Mytilus edulis: one gene and its partner. The protein of the gene in region 1 interacts with the protein of each later gene in a pairwise test. Links are inferred from orthologs where the notes say so. Each region holds a gene or a part of one and is shown in the gene's direction. Other genes may lie near its edges.

The links. The genes of interacting proteins can lie anywhere in the genome.
Region 2: the proteins of alpha-adducin-like (region 1) and protein lin-7 homolog C-like interact in a two-hybrid assay, tested with the Caenorhabditis elegans proteins (3 studies listed by BioGRID). The link is inferred for Mytilus edulis from reciprocal best matches to the Caenorhabditis elegans genes add-1 and lin-7.

What each region holds. Positions count from the first base shown.
Region 1 is NC_092347.1:57,416,420-57,426,818, forward strand, and holds the start of alpha-adducin-like, read left to right. Parts: upstream 1-6,151; 5' UTR 6,152-6,483; intron 6,484-10,399. UniProt on the Caenorhabditis elegans protein: Membrane-cytoskeleton-associated protein that promotes the assembly of the spectrin-actin network. Plays a role in time-dependent memmory loss and the retention of conditioned behavior over time.
Region 2 is NC_092350.1:93,078,717-93,089,283, forward strand, and holds the start of protein lin-7 homolog C-like, read left to right. Parts: upstream 1-5,514; 5' UTR 5,515-5,547; coding exon 5,548-5,587; intron 5,588-10,567.

The sequences.
Region 1 (10,399 bases):
TCGTTAAGAAGAGAGTTTAAGTTAATGTCATGATTATCTGTCGCTTTCTAGATCTATGCTTAGCATTTATTTCAGATGACATGGACTCCTCACCCTGATGACCCTGCTGCCTTTCATAACTTCATCCGTATACATGTATTAATAGATAAACGAAAGGCTGCAACTGGTATTTTTGTATTTAAAATGATTCGTTGTAACGAGAATATTTGTGGTGAATGGAAACTGTGAGGGTCAAAATCTTAAATTGCTTATAAATGTTGCTGGACCTAGTTTCGTTATCTGATCCGAATTTTCTGAAATGTGCAAGGTAGATAGACATTTTGATTTGTTTACTCGGTAATGAACCCTTGTGTTGATCCCATGGTAAACTTAACAAAAATCTCTGTACAAAGGTCTGTGAATTTTCTACAAAAATAGTGATTTTATTTTCACTAAATTCTCTTTTTTCTACTAAATACAATAATGAACTATAATAAATAATAATGCTTTGCAAGAAGTTTCCCCTTGATATATGCACATTTCGTAATTGACATTGTCATAAACCGTACACGAAAAGATAAAATATTGATATAAGTACTTAATTTGCATCTTTGAACCCCCACCCCGGCTTGTTTTTTAGGAGCCTGGGGTGTCTAAAAATGGTCGATTACAGACAGCCGAGTACGCATTTTACTTTCCAGGCGTGTTTATGTTTTTTAAATATAAATTAAGGCTACATTTTAATATAATAATTCTATGAATTCACAATATAAAAAAATGCAGAAAAAAAATGAATGAAGTGAAATATCTTAGTAAGGAGTCATAACTACAGAGATGGTGTGTTTGACACACAAAACTTAAAAGCTTAGTGATATTACCAATATTAAAATAAAAGTGTATTTTAGTTGGGTATTTTTTCCATTTACTCATTTTCAATTATAATCAAGGCACATTTGATTTTTATTCATGAAAAATATTTAAATATAGAAAAGTAGGACACATTGTTCACTTCCTCCCCCGTAATTCTTTATCAAAAATATTTATTTTGAAATGAAAAAGCTAAGAAATCTTAGGTTTTTTTAGTGTTTTCTAGGTTATCTCGTCTTCATTCTCTGACATATTCTAGCTTGCCCTTTCATATAAAATAGTGATTTTTTTAGTGTTTTATCGAATTTTCGAAAAACAAATACCTGATAACCGCTTAGACAAAAAAAAATATTTTGGAAAAATCTTACAGCGTGATTCTTAATAGCTATAGCCTCGGTCACACCTTACCGGATAGCTCGAACGGACGCCTAACGGATAAAAAAAAAGTTATCCGTTGACAAAATTTGTATCTGTTGGGAGTCCGTTGGTGTACTAACGAACATGTAACGAATGCCAAACGGACACACAACGGACACTGAACGTACGTGAAACGGATACGTAACGGACAGAATGGACGTCGAACGTACATCCAACGGACGAGTACCGGATAAAACAGACACCGCTATGGAAGCGTAACGGATAAAACGGATGAACAAAATAATCTGAAAATTAAAGGCAATAAACCATCTAAAAATTAAAGGCAATAAACCATGAGAAATTTCAATTGGCATTTGTCCATTTTACATCCGGTAGTCATCCGTTTTATCCGTTATCCTTCCGTTAATATCCGTTTTATCCGTTAGGCGTCCGGTAGACATCCGTTGGTGAATTGGTCTACCGGATCTCCAACGGATGCATAACGGATACAAAACGGACGAGTACCGTACAAAACGGATGCCTAACGGACGTTCAACGGACATTTTATCCGTTGGACGTCCGTTCAAAGTTTGAACATGCTCAAAATTTTCCACCGGACAGAACGGACGTCAACGGATAAAACGGACGCTTAACGGACATGCAACGGATATGGACGGACGCCTAACGGATAAGAACGGACGTCCAACGGACATGAACGGATTGAGAAAAAGTTATCTGTTAGGCGTCCGTTCGAGCTATCCGGTAAGGTGTGACCAAGGCTAATATAAGATACATTTTTCTTTTACAACCCACCTTTAAAATTTTACGGGAAACTATTCCAAGCTTTCACTGTAACCTCGCTCTAACTTATCCCCCTCCCTCCCCCACCCTCCCCCAAAAAAAACACCAAACAAACAAACCCGCAATACTATTGTCATTCTTATAGTCAACACTCAATTGTTCACAAACAAATGTGTTTTAAGCTGCTAAAGACATGATTCAAACGCTCAGAAAGTCCTTTGTTCTATATTTATGCAAAACCTTTCACATTTTTATTTTATGGGTTATTGTTGAAGGTCGTACGATGACGTATGGTTGTTAACACATACTTCCTTTGGTTTCTTATGGAAATTTGTCCATTGACAACAAACATACCACATCATCTACATTATATTAAGTATTGTATAAATTACAACGTATTTTGGTGATCTTGCAAAATGATCGTAATCCCGAAAATCGTAAACATATTTTCTTATCTTAAAAGGGGGCAAGAAGGGTTCCATTAACAGGCCAATAAATAAGATTACAGTTAATTTCATTTTTTTTTTTTTTTAAATAGGGGTATTTTTTCTCTCATAATAACAGTAAACAGATTCACAACAATGTCAATTTCAAGAAAGCAGACAACAGCTAATTAGTCAACAACAGTACAGCATCAATGCTCTTGAATATATGCCACTTTTAACAAAATATAAAAGCACAGAACCAGGACATAGGAGCACAGCACCAGGACCGTTTTTCTTATCACCAGCACAGCGTCAGGACAATTCCGTTTAACGAACTTGCACGACTTTTGCAATATAATATTGTTGTAATATACTTTGCATGGTACTTATGACACATCAGAGAAAAATTAAGCAACAAAACAGTCGTTTTATTGCCGTTCTGATACAATGTAAACAAACCCACCAGCACAGAATCAGGACCCACCAGCACCCGTCAGGACCAAATCACCAGCACAGTACGTTCTCTCGCAGGACAACCATACCCACCGTGTAAGAAGTCGTTATAAAATCCATTGAATCTAAAACTAGTCCAAATCAGATTTCTTTTATTCGGATATTCTTAGATACATTTCTTTTTTGGCGGAAGTTACCAAAAATTGTTTTAACTTTCTTTCTGACTTTAAAACACTGATTTAAGATTTATGTTGTACGCAAAATATAATACTGAAACATTTTATGTTCAAGCTAAGATGAAAAAAAGGAATGAGAAACCTTTTTTTTTCCTATTCTGAAACTACGATGTTTGTACAAAGTTCAGTTTTGTCGTAATTTCAAGGCAGATGGCGGATTCGGGGGTGGGGACGAACATGTCGTTCACCCTAGGATTGGACAAATTATCGTGTTTTGCCTTAAAATCGTCAATATTGTTTTTAGTCTCGCGACGCTCGGTGATATATTTTTTTTTAATTTGATAGAATAACGCCCCTTTCAAAATCTAGGAACCTCCCCTAAAGGTTAAAATAGATTTGAACTGTGCAGTATATCTGAGGTACACCTTTGCTGTGCATTATCCAGATTATAGCACAGTAAGAACAAAGAGATTTTACCCATACCATGTGTTTTAAAAGTACGATGGTGTCTCACGCTAAAGTGCGACTGTTTTTGTTCGCTAAAGTACGATGGTGTATCACGCTAAAGTGCGATGGTCCAAAGGGTAAGATTCGATGTATTAAAAAATCGAGGTTTAAAAAGTCTTTTTGCAAAAGCTATTATGCTAAGGTATAACATATAGGCTTTACAATTTATCGGTAGGCTGAAGTGATTGTTTCTAAATTAACAAGTCCGACCAATTATTAATTGCTATAAAGGTAATTTATGTTTTGCAAATATTATATTTCAGGTCAAATGAATTTTTAACAATTCGAAGCATATTGAATATTTGGATGTAGCTAATCTGCTTGCCGCGTTCATACTAATGTTACAACCTCCCATACAATCGTCATTGAAAATTACAAATACAAAATTCTTTTATTGTCGGAATATGCGCCATTTATTTGTGACAGCTTTAATTTAAATGCCAGATAATGGCAGTGTTTGCAGAGCTTTCTAGAGCGAGTACGAATACACGTTTTATATTCCTACAATGTACAGTACAAACTAATGTTTTAACAGACATTTTATAATTCACTCATGAATACATGTATTTATATTTTACCGACGTGACTTTTCATTAAAACAACAGCATTTTAACGGGGATCGCAAAGTAAACTGCAACATAAACAATGATTCAAACGTATCCGTACGCTTCAAATAGAAGCAGGATTAGTATGCGTATCATACTCTTTTGTATAATATTTATAGTGTCATAGGGTAATATGGCCACTTGATCTTCGTAAATAGGGCGTTGAATATGTGACGAAATATAATGTTGCAAACCATGTATTTCACACTGAAAGTACATAATTATAATAAACATTTATTTCAAATGTTAACTTGAAATTTCCTTATAAATTGAACTATGAATTGGATAGAAGTACATGCATGATAAGGCCTAAAAGAAAATGTGCTTACCTGAAAGTAGGGAAAAAGTTAGGTGTCCCTTATGTAGCGTGTGTGCTAAAGTGTGTGAAACTCGCATTAGTCCGAGTTCGCCGTATATATAGTGCTAGAAAAAGTGGCGGGGTTGCATGCATAATAACTTCGTGCAGAGTAGTATATAGAGTAAAGTCTTTTTCTAATTGTCCGTCAATGAATGAATGAATGAATTATGAATGAATGTATGAATAAACGTAGTAAATATATAGTACATACAACATATAGTGTAGTACTAGTATATAACTGTACTCTTATAAATAGCTACGGTGTCAATAGCCATACAGTAAAATGGTCGACTGTAATATACAAGTCTTTCTAATCTACCAGCACTAGAACAAATGATGCAAAATTATGCTTTCTGGGTGTTCCGAAGACCCTTTCTTAATCTGAAAATGCAAGTTTTGTTTTAATAATTTTTTGACAATATGTTGGTCTCAAAGCAAAAATAATCAGTGTAAGACTTAAGTTTCTAGGGACAACATCAAAAGACCAATGTGCATGATAAAGCAAAAATGAAATTCACATAATTAAGTCTGTGGCTGCTGTTTTTTTTTAAATTCATGTTCAAGTTCAGAACAAAATTACTAGATTACAAAAGGAATGCAACACTAACAGAATACAGAAGGGCAATCAATGAACAAAAGACAAATAAATAAGAATTATTGATCCCGAAAAAGCAGGGCTACAAATGTAAGTCTGAGGGAAAACAGAACTTGCTTCTTGCAAGGCACTCGCCGTGAACCCAATTTGATATGGAGACAAGAGTTTGGTTTTGAAATTTCCTACATGAGGCATTTGCCTCAATGTAGTTACGGCCCTGTAATAAAATAAAAGTGAGGTAAGGTTTCCTGATACAATATACCTCCAGTTAAATGAAACCAATTTTCAGACATTTCAAGTCTATTTAGATAATATTTATTCCTCTATTATTAAAAAAAATAGGGAAGTGTTTTGGGGGAAAAAAGATGAATTTATGAAGAATCTGGTGCCATCTTTCGATTATACCTGCTGATTTATTTATTTTTAATACATTTCAAGTCAGGTAATTTATTTGCAAACTATCACAGAACAAACCATTTATTTTTGGGATTATCAAGGCTGAGTGACCCCCCCCCCCCCCCCCCATATCAAATGGTCGTCCCCTTATGCCTTTTTTTCTAATATGTGTGTGGATCTGATCTGGCTGTTTACAAATACAAAAATGCTGTTAACAGTTAACAAAGTGGGTTGAAAATCAGTTTACAGCTTAAATTTACCTCAGATAACAGTTAACAAAACCTTGAAAAGGGTCACAACAGGGTATTATTGTCCCCCCCCCCCCCCCCCCCCCCCCCCCCGCCATTATTGTGTCAATTATAAAAAAATCATTGTAATAAATTACTTTGCTATTATTCATGGGCCCTTTAATTGGAATAAAAATATCTTACCTTATCATAGGCTAAATAAAAAAAAAAACCTGAGAAGATTTTTTTTTATTGACCCATATATGGTGTAATTTCCAAATAATAAATCATTTTAAATTTTGCGCCTATTCAAACTTGGAGTATGAATGATTTCCCTTTACAGACAAAAATGTGAGTGATGTCATTATTCAGGTAGCTGGTGCATATTTCCGGTGAATTTCCTCCCTCTTTCTTAAGTATGTTGTTGTGTATACCATAACTTTGAAGCATATCGCATTTGTTTATATTAAAAAATATTTATTTAAAAAAAATATTAGTGTCCCATGCAGTGTATAATTTACAGTCCATGCTTGCTTTTATCAAAACATTCAGAACATTCACTTGAGATAACAACGGGTGTATTCAAAAGATGGAATAGCCAGTGGAACTAATTTTAGAAACAACTCATTTGCATATCGGGGAAAGCCTTGTCTGTGTTCAAAGGGGCCAATATAAAATTGGCGGGGATTGTAGTCTTTCATACGAACGATCAAATAATTTTCGTAGCAGAAACAAAGGTAAGTAATTGAACGTCAATAACCACTTTATGAAAGCACGCCCCTGTTCAACTCATCAAAAGATAATTTGTAATGTCCGACCGGCTTCTGCTGCCGGTGAAGACGGTAACAGCGCTTACTTGTAAACTTGTCCGTCTACTGTCAAATAATGGGCAATACATTTGTGTACACTACAACAGAACTGTTATATGCGAAGATAGTTTCGTTAACATTGTCATTGAAGTTAAAATGTTCAGAAGCTACGGGAAAAAAATCAAATTATATGTTTTCTGTCGCCATATTTTGCAACTGTCAAGGTCGGATGTTATCAAATGCAACATCAAAACATCAGAAAGTTCTGACAAAGTATTCATATCTTATCAAATGTATTTATTCCTAATTAAAGGGCGCATTCATAGGGCATATGAATCTATACAAATCACAAATGTTATCCATGCAAAATTGCATACTGATTCAGTAGATTGTTTTAATTTTAAATGATTTAGTATTCAAGCAAATTTATAGGAATATATATTATATATTGTCATTTACTCACACACTATGACAGCCAATACTCTTGTTGCACTTAAAATGATAGTGCAATTTCCATTATTACCATTAGCAGTACTTAAATTTTAATTTTATGAAAGAACAACATGTACAAAATGTGATCACTACAGTACAGTATAAAAAGGTAAACTGATAAAAAAAAGAGAAGAAATTAGAGGCTTTCCTAAAAAATAAATCATATTCAACAGTACATTCTGTGCACACCCTGTTCTAACCTAGGAAATTCACAAAATTATAGATAGATGCAGTAGATTAACCATTTATACCTCATTTGAACATTCCTTATTCATTTTTTTTACAATGACTTCATTAAAAAAGCAAATCTTAGACTGATGTCATATATTGTAATCATCGAGATTAATGAAAATATGACATCTGAAATTTACAAATGTATAAATAGTGTTTCCTGAAGCTTTTGAAAATGGCAGATAAAGTTCTTCTCAGAATGCACTCTTTGCGCAATTGGATACATTTTAAGGGTACATTTTGCGCAATTGGATACATTGTAAGGGTACATTTTGCGCAGAGGATTACATTTGTACACTTTTAAGAGCACTCTCTACAAAGATATAAAGGCACAGTAATGGTAAGGATTTAATTGAATATACCATTGTTTTATACTTGCTTATTACATGTAATACTTTTCCGTTTTTAATTTAAATCCATTATAGTAATAAAATTATCATTTCTAGACTTACATGAAGCTAAAAATTACGGTAAGGCGTTTTAAAATATGACGGAAAAGGGGCATGGAGCCAATTTTTATTTTCGTTAAAAGGTCAGCCTCAGGGTGTCGTAGCAAGCCAAAACCTCCTCCAGGAAACATGAATGAAAATGCATGAAATTTGTGAGTTCTGCACCCAAAAAATTTAAATGTTTAATTTTTGTTGCCACAATACTTTTATTCAAACATTAAGTGATTAACTTTATGCAGGTATTGCAATTGCTTACTTTCTCTGTTAAATTTCTTCATTTATCAAAACTAAAAACAGGATATTTAGTGCTTGCAAGTTTTTCTATTGAAGCTAAAATAAAATCAAGTAGATTTTTCCTTCACCTGACTCGAAGGTACTTGGCATAATTTGTGTTGCCAAAACCTGATGTCTGTATTGAGAGGCATACATGTGATGGTTGCTGGGAAATTTATGTGCATAGTTGAGTTGTTTGGGTGTAGGATATGGCACCCAACATCACACGCTGAACCAGACTCGTCTTTTAGTTTTCACTTATGCAGTACCCAGCCCCTTATTCTTTTGCACCATATGCATAAATTTGGTCCTTGCAAGTATCTCAGTATTTTGACAAGGAAAGGATATGTCTGACACATATGCGGTTTCACATAGACAGTTTCTCACTGTCTGTCTCCATATTGGTAGACATGGAACTTCCCAAATTATTTCTGTACAGCTTCCTCTTGCAGCTTAACACATGCTCACCAGATCAAAAGGAGTCTGACAGAATTCATTTTTCTGTCATTGAAAAATATATGATTGTAACACTTTTTCATTTCTCAATTATGTAAATTTAAAAAAAAAGTATTTAGATTTTTTTTCTCTAAACTACTTGTACATGTATACATTTTTGTGGACAATTTATAGTAATTCATTGGCATTGAATGTACTGTACTGTATGCTTATCAGTAGTAGTTGTCAATTTGAAGCAGAAAAAGGCCAAATATCAACTGATCAACTTCAGATTTTGATAAAAAATTCAATAATGGTTCATCACTATATATTTTTTTGTACATTTTAAATACCCAATTTCCACCCCAAGAAAATTGAAATGGCAAAACAATTTTTAGCAGGGAAATGAATCAAACATACAATGTACATACATTCATATATTGTTTTAGGTCAGTATGATACAGCATATATCTTTCATCATGGAGACATTTTTCTTTTGAGATGGAATTGATAAGGCAGTATTTTCTATTAAATCAACATGTTGAAATTCTTTTTGTTCTTATTCTACTGATCATGACCAGTACATTAATATGTTGTGATCTCTATTGGGGGTAGTAAGAAGTTCTGTTCTCTTATCAGACAGATAGTGTTTAGTCTATTAATTATATATGTTACTACATTTATCATCTTGTTACTAATTTCATATTGATTTAATTATTAAAGTTATCAACTTGATTATTTGAACTGGTGATGACATGTAACATTTCAAAACATGCCACTAATTCTTATCTGTTCAAAATTTCTCTGAGATTATGATATAGAGGATATGCTGTTTAAATGTTCCTTACCTATAGTATCATTATATATATAAGTTCATATTCATGTACCCAGTATATATGCATGTTACAAAAACATGCATGTACATAGTACATTATAGTATATATATATACATGTATATAGCTTCAATGGACATATAGTGATTTTTATAGTATTCTTCAAGTTTTTTTGTCTTTTGGTGGAAGAAACAAAAGATGTACAATTATATCATGAGATTAATTTTATATTAACCTAGTGGATGGAAATCGAATATATATGCATGTCACTTAAAGTCATAAGAAACCTCAAATTAAAAAAATAATGCGTATGTTTTAACTCAATGGATAGTTTTCATTATAAAATTTATGTACATATACTTTTTTCTGAAGAAAACTCTTTAATATATTCATATTTAGAAGAAGTTTACTTTATTTTAATTGCATCCTTCCAGGAAGCAATTCCCCCGACATATTTTCCGTATGCAAAGTGACCTCAGTGTGCCCCATCCCGTAAAAATCTGGTGATCGCAATACGCATTGATGTCCTTAAAAGAAATTTATGCGAAAAAATGATAAATTCGTGCAGAGAAGAGTGAGAAGACTAAGTTTATGATGTTTGTATGCATTGGTTCAAGAATTGTAAGAACAATATTTTTCACCGGTTACTCGTTTTTTATGACTTTAATTTACAATGTACATTTTGTACATGTACATGTAGAACTTCTGAGCAGAATTTAAAAAAAAGTTTTGAATTAAAAGCTGAGTAAGCTGATGCTCATAGAACAATGTTTTAGTACTTCTCTAACAAATTTGTTAGCCTAATAAATTCATACATATACATGTTTATACAATGTATGTATTAAAGGAATATGAATTACTGCTCAATTTTGAGTGCATCTCCATAGGCTTCAACAGTTTATCTTGAACTGTCTTATTGATAAGATCACCTCATTCAGATTTCTGACAGATTATCTTTTAATGCTACTAGTTCAAGAAAGAAATGGTACCAAGCTGATTCTGGAATCTTGGGAAGTCTTCTTTTGTATATATATATTTAGCATCTTCATGATGTCACTTGTACCTGTAATATATTTACAGTTTTACACTAGCAACTAAAGTTACCCTTGATAAAGCCTCATGTTGTTATAA
Region 2 (10,567 bases), on another chromosome or scaffold:
TCTATTTTTTTTTTCTATTCTTATTTTTTTACACGACAAAATAGCAAAACACTACCGGAGCCGCAGCCGGTGAAATAGCCACCAACTTTTTTGTTTTGTTTTTAACAAAACATTAACTAGTTTTAAATAAACATGCCACTTATGCACCAGGTATTAATCACCTTTATTAAGATGGAAAACTGGAAAACTTGAAGAAGAGAAGAAAAGAAACTATTTTGCGGAGCTGTCAAAATCATGAGTATAGCCTCTGTCTTATTATATATAGCGACAATGATTTGTATATTTACTATAAATCCTTGATAAACAAACTTTTATTGAAATCATTTATGAATATTAATTTTGTCAGTTTGTGGACGATTGTTCGAATTTTGTCCAGAGCGATGAGTTATCCCAGAGACATGTTATCCTGACCTCTGGGAAGACAATCTCACGAAAGCAAGGAGACAATCGTTAGTATTCTGTCAGACCCTGACATGAGTAAGGTCACTTCATTGCCACCAATAAAACCTAAAGCAGGTGATATATTTGTCATTGAGTCTATTAACACGGAGGACTGGAAGTGTGATCAGTACTTGTGGATACGTGATGGAGGTAGAACAATTAAGATCAAGGGTGTTGAAATAGGTAAAGTTTTTTACAAAGTAAGAATTCCAGGTACTGAGATAAAATCTGGGCGTGTAAGACCGAGGTTTTCATTAAAATTCAAAAAGGTCGGCTATTGGTTGACAAATAGACCTACATTGGTTTTGGTTCATTACATTGGCGATGAGACGATATATACACCTATGGCACATGGTAATAGCAAACATGATGGTGAGTTCAAAAGAACAATGCCATCAGTAATTGATAAGGTAAAGGACCATGTAGGTAGTGAGGGTGCCAAAAAATTATATAGGACTATGGTATGTTCTGAACAAGTCGAGGGTAACATGCAAGGTGTAGCTAATCCTAGGAATAGCAAACAGGTAAAGAATGCACTTCAGAAGCGGCGAGGTGATCAGTTATTGAGTAGAGATGATTTATATATTTTTTTTCAGCTATCTTCCCATTTAGATGGGTTCGTGAAACAGTTAACACTTTACCCAGATTTAGTGGCTGTTGTAAGCTTACCAGAAATCATCACTCAATTTAACCAACTCTTAGATGTTAAATCTGATGAACAGCTTTATTTATCTTATGACACCACATTCAACCTAGGTGATTGTTACGTTTCGGCCATAGTATTTAAACATATTCTTTTCAAAGAGACACCTCTTATTCCTTTGGCTTTTGTTATTCATGATAGAAAATTTGGAAGTGTTCACGAGACTTTATTTAACTTTTTGAAATTTGCTGTTCCGAAAATTTCCAAAAAAAGAATTCCCATTGTAGTGGACAGAGAAGCTGGTATACGAAAAGCTATTAAAAATATTTTGCCTGATTGTCCTATACTTACATGCTGGAATCATTTACGAAACGATTTTAAGTACTGGTTGAATAAAAAAAAAGTTTCTCCTGATAATATCAGGCTATATCATCATCAGTTAAAACAGATGCTTCAATGTGACTCTGAGAATGAATTCTTAGAGCTTTCCAAAGATCTGACATCTAAATGGACATCCGAAGTTGTGTCATATTTTGAAAAAGAGCTAAAAACTGATATTTTAGAGAGATCAGGAAAATGGGTTTTAGAACAGTTTGAAGGTTTATATGACCCATACTCAGGTATCACAAACAATCTGTCAGAAAGTTATAACGCTGTTTTAAAACAAGAAAACGATTGGAAAGAGTTACCAGTTGATATGCTTGCTTTGGGTTTTCATTTTCTACAAAATTTTGATCACTACGAGATTCTTAGAGGTTTGGCAGGTGTTGGGGACTATCATTTAAAAACAGAGTTTTCGAGGGCAAAAATTGACATACACGATTTGTTCATACCTAAGAAACTCATAGCACCATCCGATATAATTTCGTACCTGAAAACAGCACACATAAATACACCACAGTTGTCGTCTCCGTCTGCTGAAACGACAGAAACAGTGGAAGATCTATCCGATTCTAAAACTGAACATAGTACACCCACCACACCAAAAGAAAAAGACACTCCAGTCATTAATACTATGTTTGACTTTCCTGCTTTTGTTAGTAGTCAGCACGCTTTGGCAAAGTATATAGTTGACAACAACCTAATCACACTTGTTCCATCTCAAGCAGCTTTCATTGTTCAAGGTCGAAATGGTAAGTATTGTGTCACTTTATTTCCGAAGGAAACTTGTCAGTGTCCATCTACTACTACATGCTTTCATATCCTTGCAGCAAAAATGAGCATTGGTCAAGAACCCATTGAAAAAAGACCAGTAGTTAGTCTAAGAGTTTTAACAAAAAATAACAGAAAGAGAGTTGACAAAAAATCAGGAAAAAAACAACCTAGGCAAAACGATTACGATCCTGTTGTAGAACCAGCTCCAGACTCGGCTTATTTAGTCAACACACCAAAAACACCTTCACAAGTACATTCAACACAGAAATCACCACAGAAATCAGCATTAAAAACAAAATCAAAAACACCACATTCTAAAAAGAAACTTCACTTTAATTTGGAGACTGTTAGCGAGGAAGAAATTGATACATGTCCTATTTCACCAGACGAAAAAAAGGATAACATAATTACATTAGATGACACACCACCAGGTCAAAAAGAGAAAACTTGACTTTCCATCTCCGCCAATTTCGATTGAAATTGAACAGGAAAAAAAAACAACCATGGATAGGTACACTTACACAAGTAGACAAAAAAACTATTTCAGATAGTAAGTGCTTAACTTCCGACATTGTTAATTATGCACAAAACATTCTTTCAAAACAGTTTCCATTAATCCATGGTTTTCAGAACACATGTTATGCTCCAGTTTTCTGTAATCAACAAAAAAAATGGCTTTCTGAGACAAGTTTTACACCTACACAGGCTCCAGCTGTACAAATTCACCATACAGGGCATTCACACTGGGTCACTTCTTTAACCAAACAATCAAATGAAGTCTATCTATTGGACAGCGTGTATGACACACTTACAACATCTTCAGAAATACAGCTTTCACAAATATATTCACATGGTAAAAAAAGGCTTTTGGTCAAGTTACCAGAAGTTCAGAAACAAACTAATTCCATAGATTGTGGGTTGTTTGCAATTGCAAATGCTGTAGAATTTTGTTTTACAAGTTTTTCAGGTGGGATACATGTAGAATTTGACACTGAACTTTTAAGAGAACATCTTGTGATTTGTTTGGAAAAAGGTGAATTTATTCCATTTCCAAAAAAAAAAATTAGCATGAAAGGTAAACCGAAATATAAAACCAGTGTTGTAGAATGTAACTGTGAGTGTGGAAAATGTGATTCAGTAGAAGACATGTTAGGATGTGAATGGCAAAAAGGTGTTAAAAAATGCAACAGTTGGAAATAGTTATCAAAAGTACCAGGATTATAATTTTATACGCCAGACGCGCGTTTCGTCTACATAAGACTCATCGGTGACGCTCAGATCAAAATAGTTAAAAAGCCAAACAAATACAAAGTTGAAGAGCATTGATGACCCAAAATTCCAAAAAGTTGTGCCAAATACGGCTAAGGTAATCTACTCCTGGGGTAAGAAAATCCTTAGTTTTTCGAATAATTCAAAGTTTTGTAAACAGAAAATTTATAAAAATGACCATATAATTGATATTCATGTCAACACCGAAGTGTTGACTACTGGGCTGGTGATACCCTCGGGGACGAAACGTCCACCAGCAGTGGCATCGACCCAGTGGTGTAAATAGTTATCAAAAGTACCAGGATTATAATTTTATACGCCAGACGCGCGTTTCGTCTACATAAGACTCATCGGTGACGCTCAGATCAAAATAGTTAAAAAGCCAAACAAATACAAAGTTGAAGAGCATTGATGACCCAAAATTCCAAAAAGTTGTGCCAAATACGGCTAAGGTAATCTACTCCTGGGGTAAGAAAATCCTTAGTTTTTCGAATAATTCAAAGTTTTGTAAACAGAAAATTTATAAAAATGACCATATAATGGAAACACTTTTCATGTACCGGATTAAAAGATGGTGACACATTCCTTTGCTCTAAACACATTACTAATTAGTGAATAAACACCTTTGATGATTTGACACCAATCAGTGACTTTGAAGTTTTTATTACTGTCAAAACTTAATTTGGGATATTATAGTTTTTATTTTATTTGGTTTTTATTGTTTTGCATGATTATTTATTTTATATATATGTATGTGTATAATTGAAATGTTTTTGATTAATAAAATATAAGCCCATGCCCTTTCAACGATATGTCTGCTGCCTTTAATAAATAAATCTGAAAATAGATCAAATTATTCAACATAGCAAATAAGTAAATATTATTTAAATAAACACACAGATAATTGTATTTTCTTTCTTTCATATTTCCATAAAGCTGAATATTCGAACTTTCCTATAAACATGATTGTTCCTGCCAGACATTAATTTTGAAGAAAAGATTAATTTGATTTTAAGCGAATTTCTACCAATTTTTTTACGCATAAGGCAACTGTCCTGGCAGATTTTTTTTATGTTAATGAAATAAAAGTCCATATTTTTTTATATTTTCTGGAAGCTTATACTCTAAACTTTACAATGCACCTACTTTTGTTTACCAGACATTTATTTTGAAGAAGATATTAAACTTTATATTATGACCTTAGACTAATTTCAACAAAATTTCTGACGTAATAGTCTACTGTCCCGGCAGATTTTCCTACCTTTAAAAGACGAAAAAAATATTGAATTGTAGATTTTAGAAATAAAAGTTTGTTAAACTTTATTATCATACAAAAATAATATGCCAGACAGTTGATTTGGAGAATTTATTTCAATTATAAGTAAAAAATTCTCGGCAATTTCAGCCGTTTTTAGCTTAAAATTTAATGGAGTAGGCTACTGTCCTGGCAGATTTTTTTTACGTTAATGACATAAAAATTCATATAATTTTATATTATCATAAAGCGTATATTCTAAACTTTCCAATGAACTAACATTTGTTTACCAGACATTTATTTTGAAGAAGATATTCAACTTTATATTTTGATCCTGAACTAATTTCAACAAACTTTCTAATGTAAAAGTCTACTGTCCTGGCAGATTTTTTTACCTTTAAGAGATGGAAAAAAAATAAAATTATAGATTTTTATAATTGATATTCCATAAACTTTACAATCGTACCAAAATATTATGCCAGACAGTTGTTTTGGAGAAAATATTCCAATTATAAGTAAACTTTTCACGGCAATTTCAGCCATTTTTTTCTTAAAATATAACTGTCCTGGCAGATTTTTTCTTACTTCTTAATTTTTTTTATATGTTTTTTTTATTAATAATGTTAGTAAATACTTTCTTCTTTATTATACAATTAAAATTTTAACCATGTGTTGAGTAAAACAAAAGTTACAGATAAAAACGTATCGAAAAAAAGTGTCCTGGTTTTATCTGTCCTGTTAATAGACCTTCCCTCCAAGGGGAAACAACTGCAACCAGGAAGTCATGGCGTCGATAAATGTTGAACCGCTTCATTTAGAAAAAGGTAAATTACGATATCAAAGCATATGTTGCAATGATAAACATTGTGTAGAGCGAAACAGAAAAAAAAAGCCTTTTACACCTTTGAAAGATATTTAACGTTTTTGGTTTTGTGTAACTAACTAACTAACTAACTAATTTTATTCAGTATAGAGGGGGGGCAAGGGGGTCCCAATAACAGCAAAACAGCAAATTGATTTGGCTCATAACAGATAACAAGGAATTAAAATGGACAAAAACAGATAACAGTAAATGAAATATTAAAATAATTCGGTCTTTGACAAATCAGTATTTCTTATTGCGGATATAATCCTTTGTAATGCGTTCCATTTTTTATGACTATGTTTTTAGTATTAATTTATGTAACTAGAATGTGTTTAAATTACTCCTCAAATAATATTTTTTATACGCTCGTTTACAGAACGTATTATGGTATACTGTTGTCCGTCTGTTGTCAACATGTCGGACATTAACTCAAAAACTCTTTAACCATTTGCATTAAACTTTGGGAAATTGTTTATATCTATTGACGTGAGCTCCCTTTTTTTTTTCTTTTTTTTTTTTTATAAATTTTAGATTTTAAGTTTCTGGATAATGGGTTTTTATTCAATAAAATTGGTGGTTTTTTTTCAGTCTTCTGATAATATCTCAAAAATGCTTTCACAAAGCAAGGAATTTTGTTGAATTAACATGAGGTAACTTTCAATTTTTATAAATTTTAGATTTTACGTTTCCGAGTTAACGGGTTTTATTAATTAAAAAGGGGTGATTTTCCAGTTTTCAGACATTAACTCAAAAATGTTTTCAGCAGTTCTCATGAATTGTTGGTGTATTGTTTATATATATTGACTGAAGCTCCCTTTGTTGCTAATCAAAAAAGTGACCTAAAAGAGTTTGAATATTCTGAATTTTTCTAAATGACCATTTAATGAGGTGTGTGATTTTTTCTTAATAAAACTATGAGGCGAAGTGGTATATAGAGTAGAAAAATCAAAAGCACCAATTATAAGCATGCAATTTATCAAGTACTTCGAACGAATTTTGACACTCTAAAAGCAATTAATTCCACTATTTTCAAAGGCCTTTTTTGAACAATTTTTTATCAGCTGAGGTTTTTGATTGTACCAAGTGTACTAGTAAGTAGAATACATAGTTTAGTAGGGAAACAATGGCTTGAAACGAAATAAATCTTTGTTTGTAATGAGTTATGTGCAGCTTCGGACCCAAGTACATGGTTGGAACTTTCATTGTACAATGCATTTGGTTCTGCTTTGAAAAGAATCACAGAGCTGAGTCTATGTACAATATTATATAAAAGGTTAAGTGGTTGTTAGGACCTAGTCCTTAATTGAGATCCTTGTCAGATATTCCTGGCCATATGTTTTCCTTTTTGTCATATTAAAAATTGTTTTAATTTAATATGTTCGTACGGAAAACAAGGAACATTATTCTCATACAAAAAATTAAGATAATTCTAAATACACATTCATAAAAAAAATGGAATTTATTACAAAGGATAATCATAATTGTCCTGGACCTCACTTCTGTGATGGGTATATGTTAATGGAATCCTTCTCTGAATACGGGACAAACATATTAGTAGTGGTAGACCCCAATGGCCAATGATCTTCAATTTATACCGAATATTGACTGTCAAAAAAAATGCTAACATTCCAATTTTCAATAACAGTTAACAGCAAATACATTATCACAATAACAGATAACAAAAAAACTAAAAGCCCAATAACAGCTAACAAAGAATAAGACAATAACAGCTAACAGCAAATATATTTTCAAAATAACAGATAACAAAGAATAAAATTGCCCCATAACAGCATAACAGTTAAACCCCTTGCCCCCACCCCCCCCCCCACCCCCACCCCCACCCCCAGTATAAAATCCAGTACAAAAGGATCATTGCTGAAACACATAAACACATATAAAAAACATATACAAAACAAAAATAAAACATAACAGACAACAATTTTGACACTTATAACAAGCAAAAGACAAAACTCACATTTCAATATTATGCAATTATTCCCACTGATGAATGTCTAATCAAAATACATTTGTCTATATATATAAGAAAACTGGTGAGAACATCAGTCTCCGAACAGTTCATTAAATATTTAAATTTATCAAAATTATCTAAATTGCAAAAACATGGTATAATATTAACAATGTCATCATAAAACATTTCCCTCTCCTCGTGATAGAGGTTGCATTCACATATATATGAAATGAAACTCATCTTCAATTTTGTTATCAATACAATGTGTACATATTCTTTGATCCAAAGGCGTTTTATTATATCTGCCTTTTTCAATGTGTAAACTGTGGTTAGAAATTCTTAATTTACATAATTGTCTAACATATTGTTTTGGGATATTTAACTTTGTATAAGTCTCAGGTTTATATTCCTCTTTTAACTTGTAATATGTTCGTAGTTTGTTTTGCTTTTCATCTGACAAACATGAGAAAAAGTAATTTCCATATCTTTCTTGTAATATCTTTTTCACTGCAGATATAAGTTTTCCTTCTGACATAGTTCCTTTATTATTCCAAACATGGTCAAAATTAATTAATTTTAGAAACTTAAAAATGTGTTTATTGAAGGTACATGGAAAGGTACAATCAACTTTTTTGATTGACTTATATGCTAATTTTGAAAAATTCAAAAGAGGGTCTTTATACAAATATAGCCAGTATTTAAGAGATTGCAAAATAACAAATATAGAGATTGGATAACGACCAAGTTCTGCCATACTGGCAATATTAGGAGCATATTTAGTGGCACCAAGTACATATTTACAATATCGAATGTGAACCTTTTCAGGAGCAAAATTTAAAAAAGTTTTTTCTAAATCATCATTTGAACCTTGTGTTAATCTTTTGTCCAGGTTAAGAATGTACGGACCCCACAATTCACTTCCATAGAGAAGGACTGGTTTTACACAGGAGTCAAAAAGTTTTAAAAGCAAAGGTGTATTATTATGTGTACAGTGAAATTTACGTTTAATCATGAAAATTACTTTAAGCATGTTAAGTGCTTTCTTACTAAGATCTTCAACTGCAGTACTGAAAGAACCAGATGCTCTCATTACAATACCTAGGTATTTATACTCTTGAACACTTTTCATCAGATTTTGCTCAAAATAAAAATTACAGTCTTTCAGTAATTTACCTGATTTGTTAAATACTATTATTTGAGTTTTTTCTATATTCATTGATAATTGCCATTTTTAAAGCAATTGCTTTTATGCCGTCGCGTATGGCCATCTTTGTGACCCAGATCAGAGACTCCGCCCAGATCAAGCCATAGTATTTTGTTAAACAGGCTCCTGGTCAGTCATTCTTTAACACCTATGTATGTTTTCTAATGCAATACATAGCTTGAAACTTTAAAAAAAAGTTAGTGGGTTTAAGAAGTTTCAGAATATGTTCTTGTAGATGTATTTTTGTATTTAAAGGGTCAACCGTTTGACTATCAAATAACATAGAAGTCCGAGTGAAAAAAGTACATTTTTATAAATGCGATTCCGTTTTCCGCCGTTCGTACGATGTTTCAACAAAATATGGATTCATTTCAGTTGTTGATTTAGTATTGAAAATTTAACTGAATTATCTCCTAATAAATACGGTTTTTTATGTTTAATTTGTGTTTCTTTTTTCAGGTGCTCTTGTTCATTCATAAAATTATCGTTCATTCATACATTTATCGTAAAATCAAAATCACTACACAGGTTAATGCGTAGTGTCAAATTATTACCTGTAATCTAAAAATAGACAAACTTTATTTGCGCAAATAATTTAGCGGAACGAAACCCTTGTTGAAAACACATACAGTCAGAGCTCTGACATAAACAAGTCAGAATAAAATGACTTCCATAGGTCAGATATAATTTGATGTAAGTGTTGTCTCCCTTCTTGCACTCAACAGAATATGACTTGTACAGGTCAGTTTATGTCAGACTTTAATTTATCATAAAATGACTTCCACAGGTCAGCTTTTGCATAAAATATTGTGACTTAATATCTTCATATTCTTATAAGATTTATGTCCCTTTTTAATGCATTTTGACTTAGAGAGGTCATTTTTGTTCTGACTTGAAGCAGTCATTACTACCACTTTGTTATCAATCTCCATAAAATATAGTGAATACTAGTTTCGAATCAAAGAGTTTAAAAAGTGGGGCTCATCATACCTTCTTCTTTCCAGAATCTTAACATAATATTTTTTTCTCATCAAATTCAATCATTTCAAAATACAAACAAAAACCAAAGCAGAAAAAATGGATCATACAATTTTCTGTCAATATCAAAAGATTTATAAAATACAATATTGGATACATTTACTAGTACCATGACAATACTTCAAATCTTCCAAGGAAAAAAAAAGGGATCTATTCTCATCCACTTTTAGCTAAATTTATCAAGAGCAAAACATTTATTTTTTTAATATTTCATTGAGGTAAATACTGTTGTGCAAACTGACTCAAACAAGCTGACTTCAAAAGTCAGTCAAAACTAAACTTATTTCAACCTTTAAGTCTAGTACTGTCATATTGATTTAAAAATGTATGGGAAAGCCAGATATAGGACAGAGAAAATATTAAAGGTCCCCTAAAGTCACAATGAGGACTATAAAAAAAAATATTTGGTATATTCAATATTTAAATGCAATTTTTTTTAAACAGGTCAAATCATGTTTTGACTTAAAGCAGTCAGCCCAAAACTAAATTTATTGAAATTTTTAGAGTGGGGCACTGACATATGATATTAAATGAAAGTATGGGAACCTCGGACATAAGAAATATATGTAAGATCCCCTAAAATAAATAACCATTTGACTTAATTGTTTCTAAACATTTATCAAATAAATTCACAAATGGCAGATTCAGAAGCAGGGCTTAAAGGAAGTACACCTAGCTTTGATTGGAAAATTTGTTCTGCAATCTGACTTGAACAGGTCAAATCATGT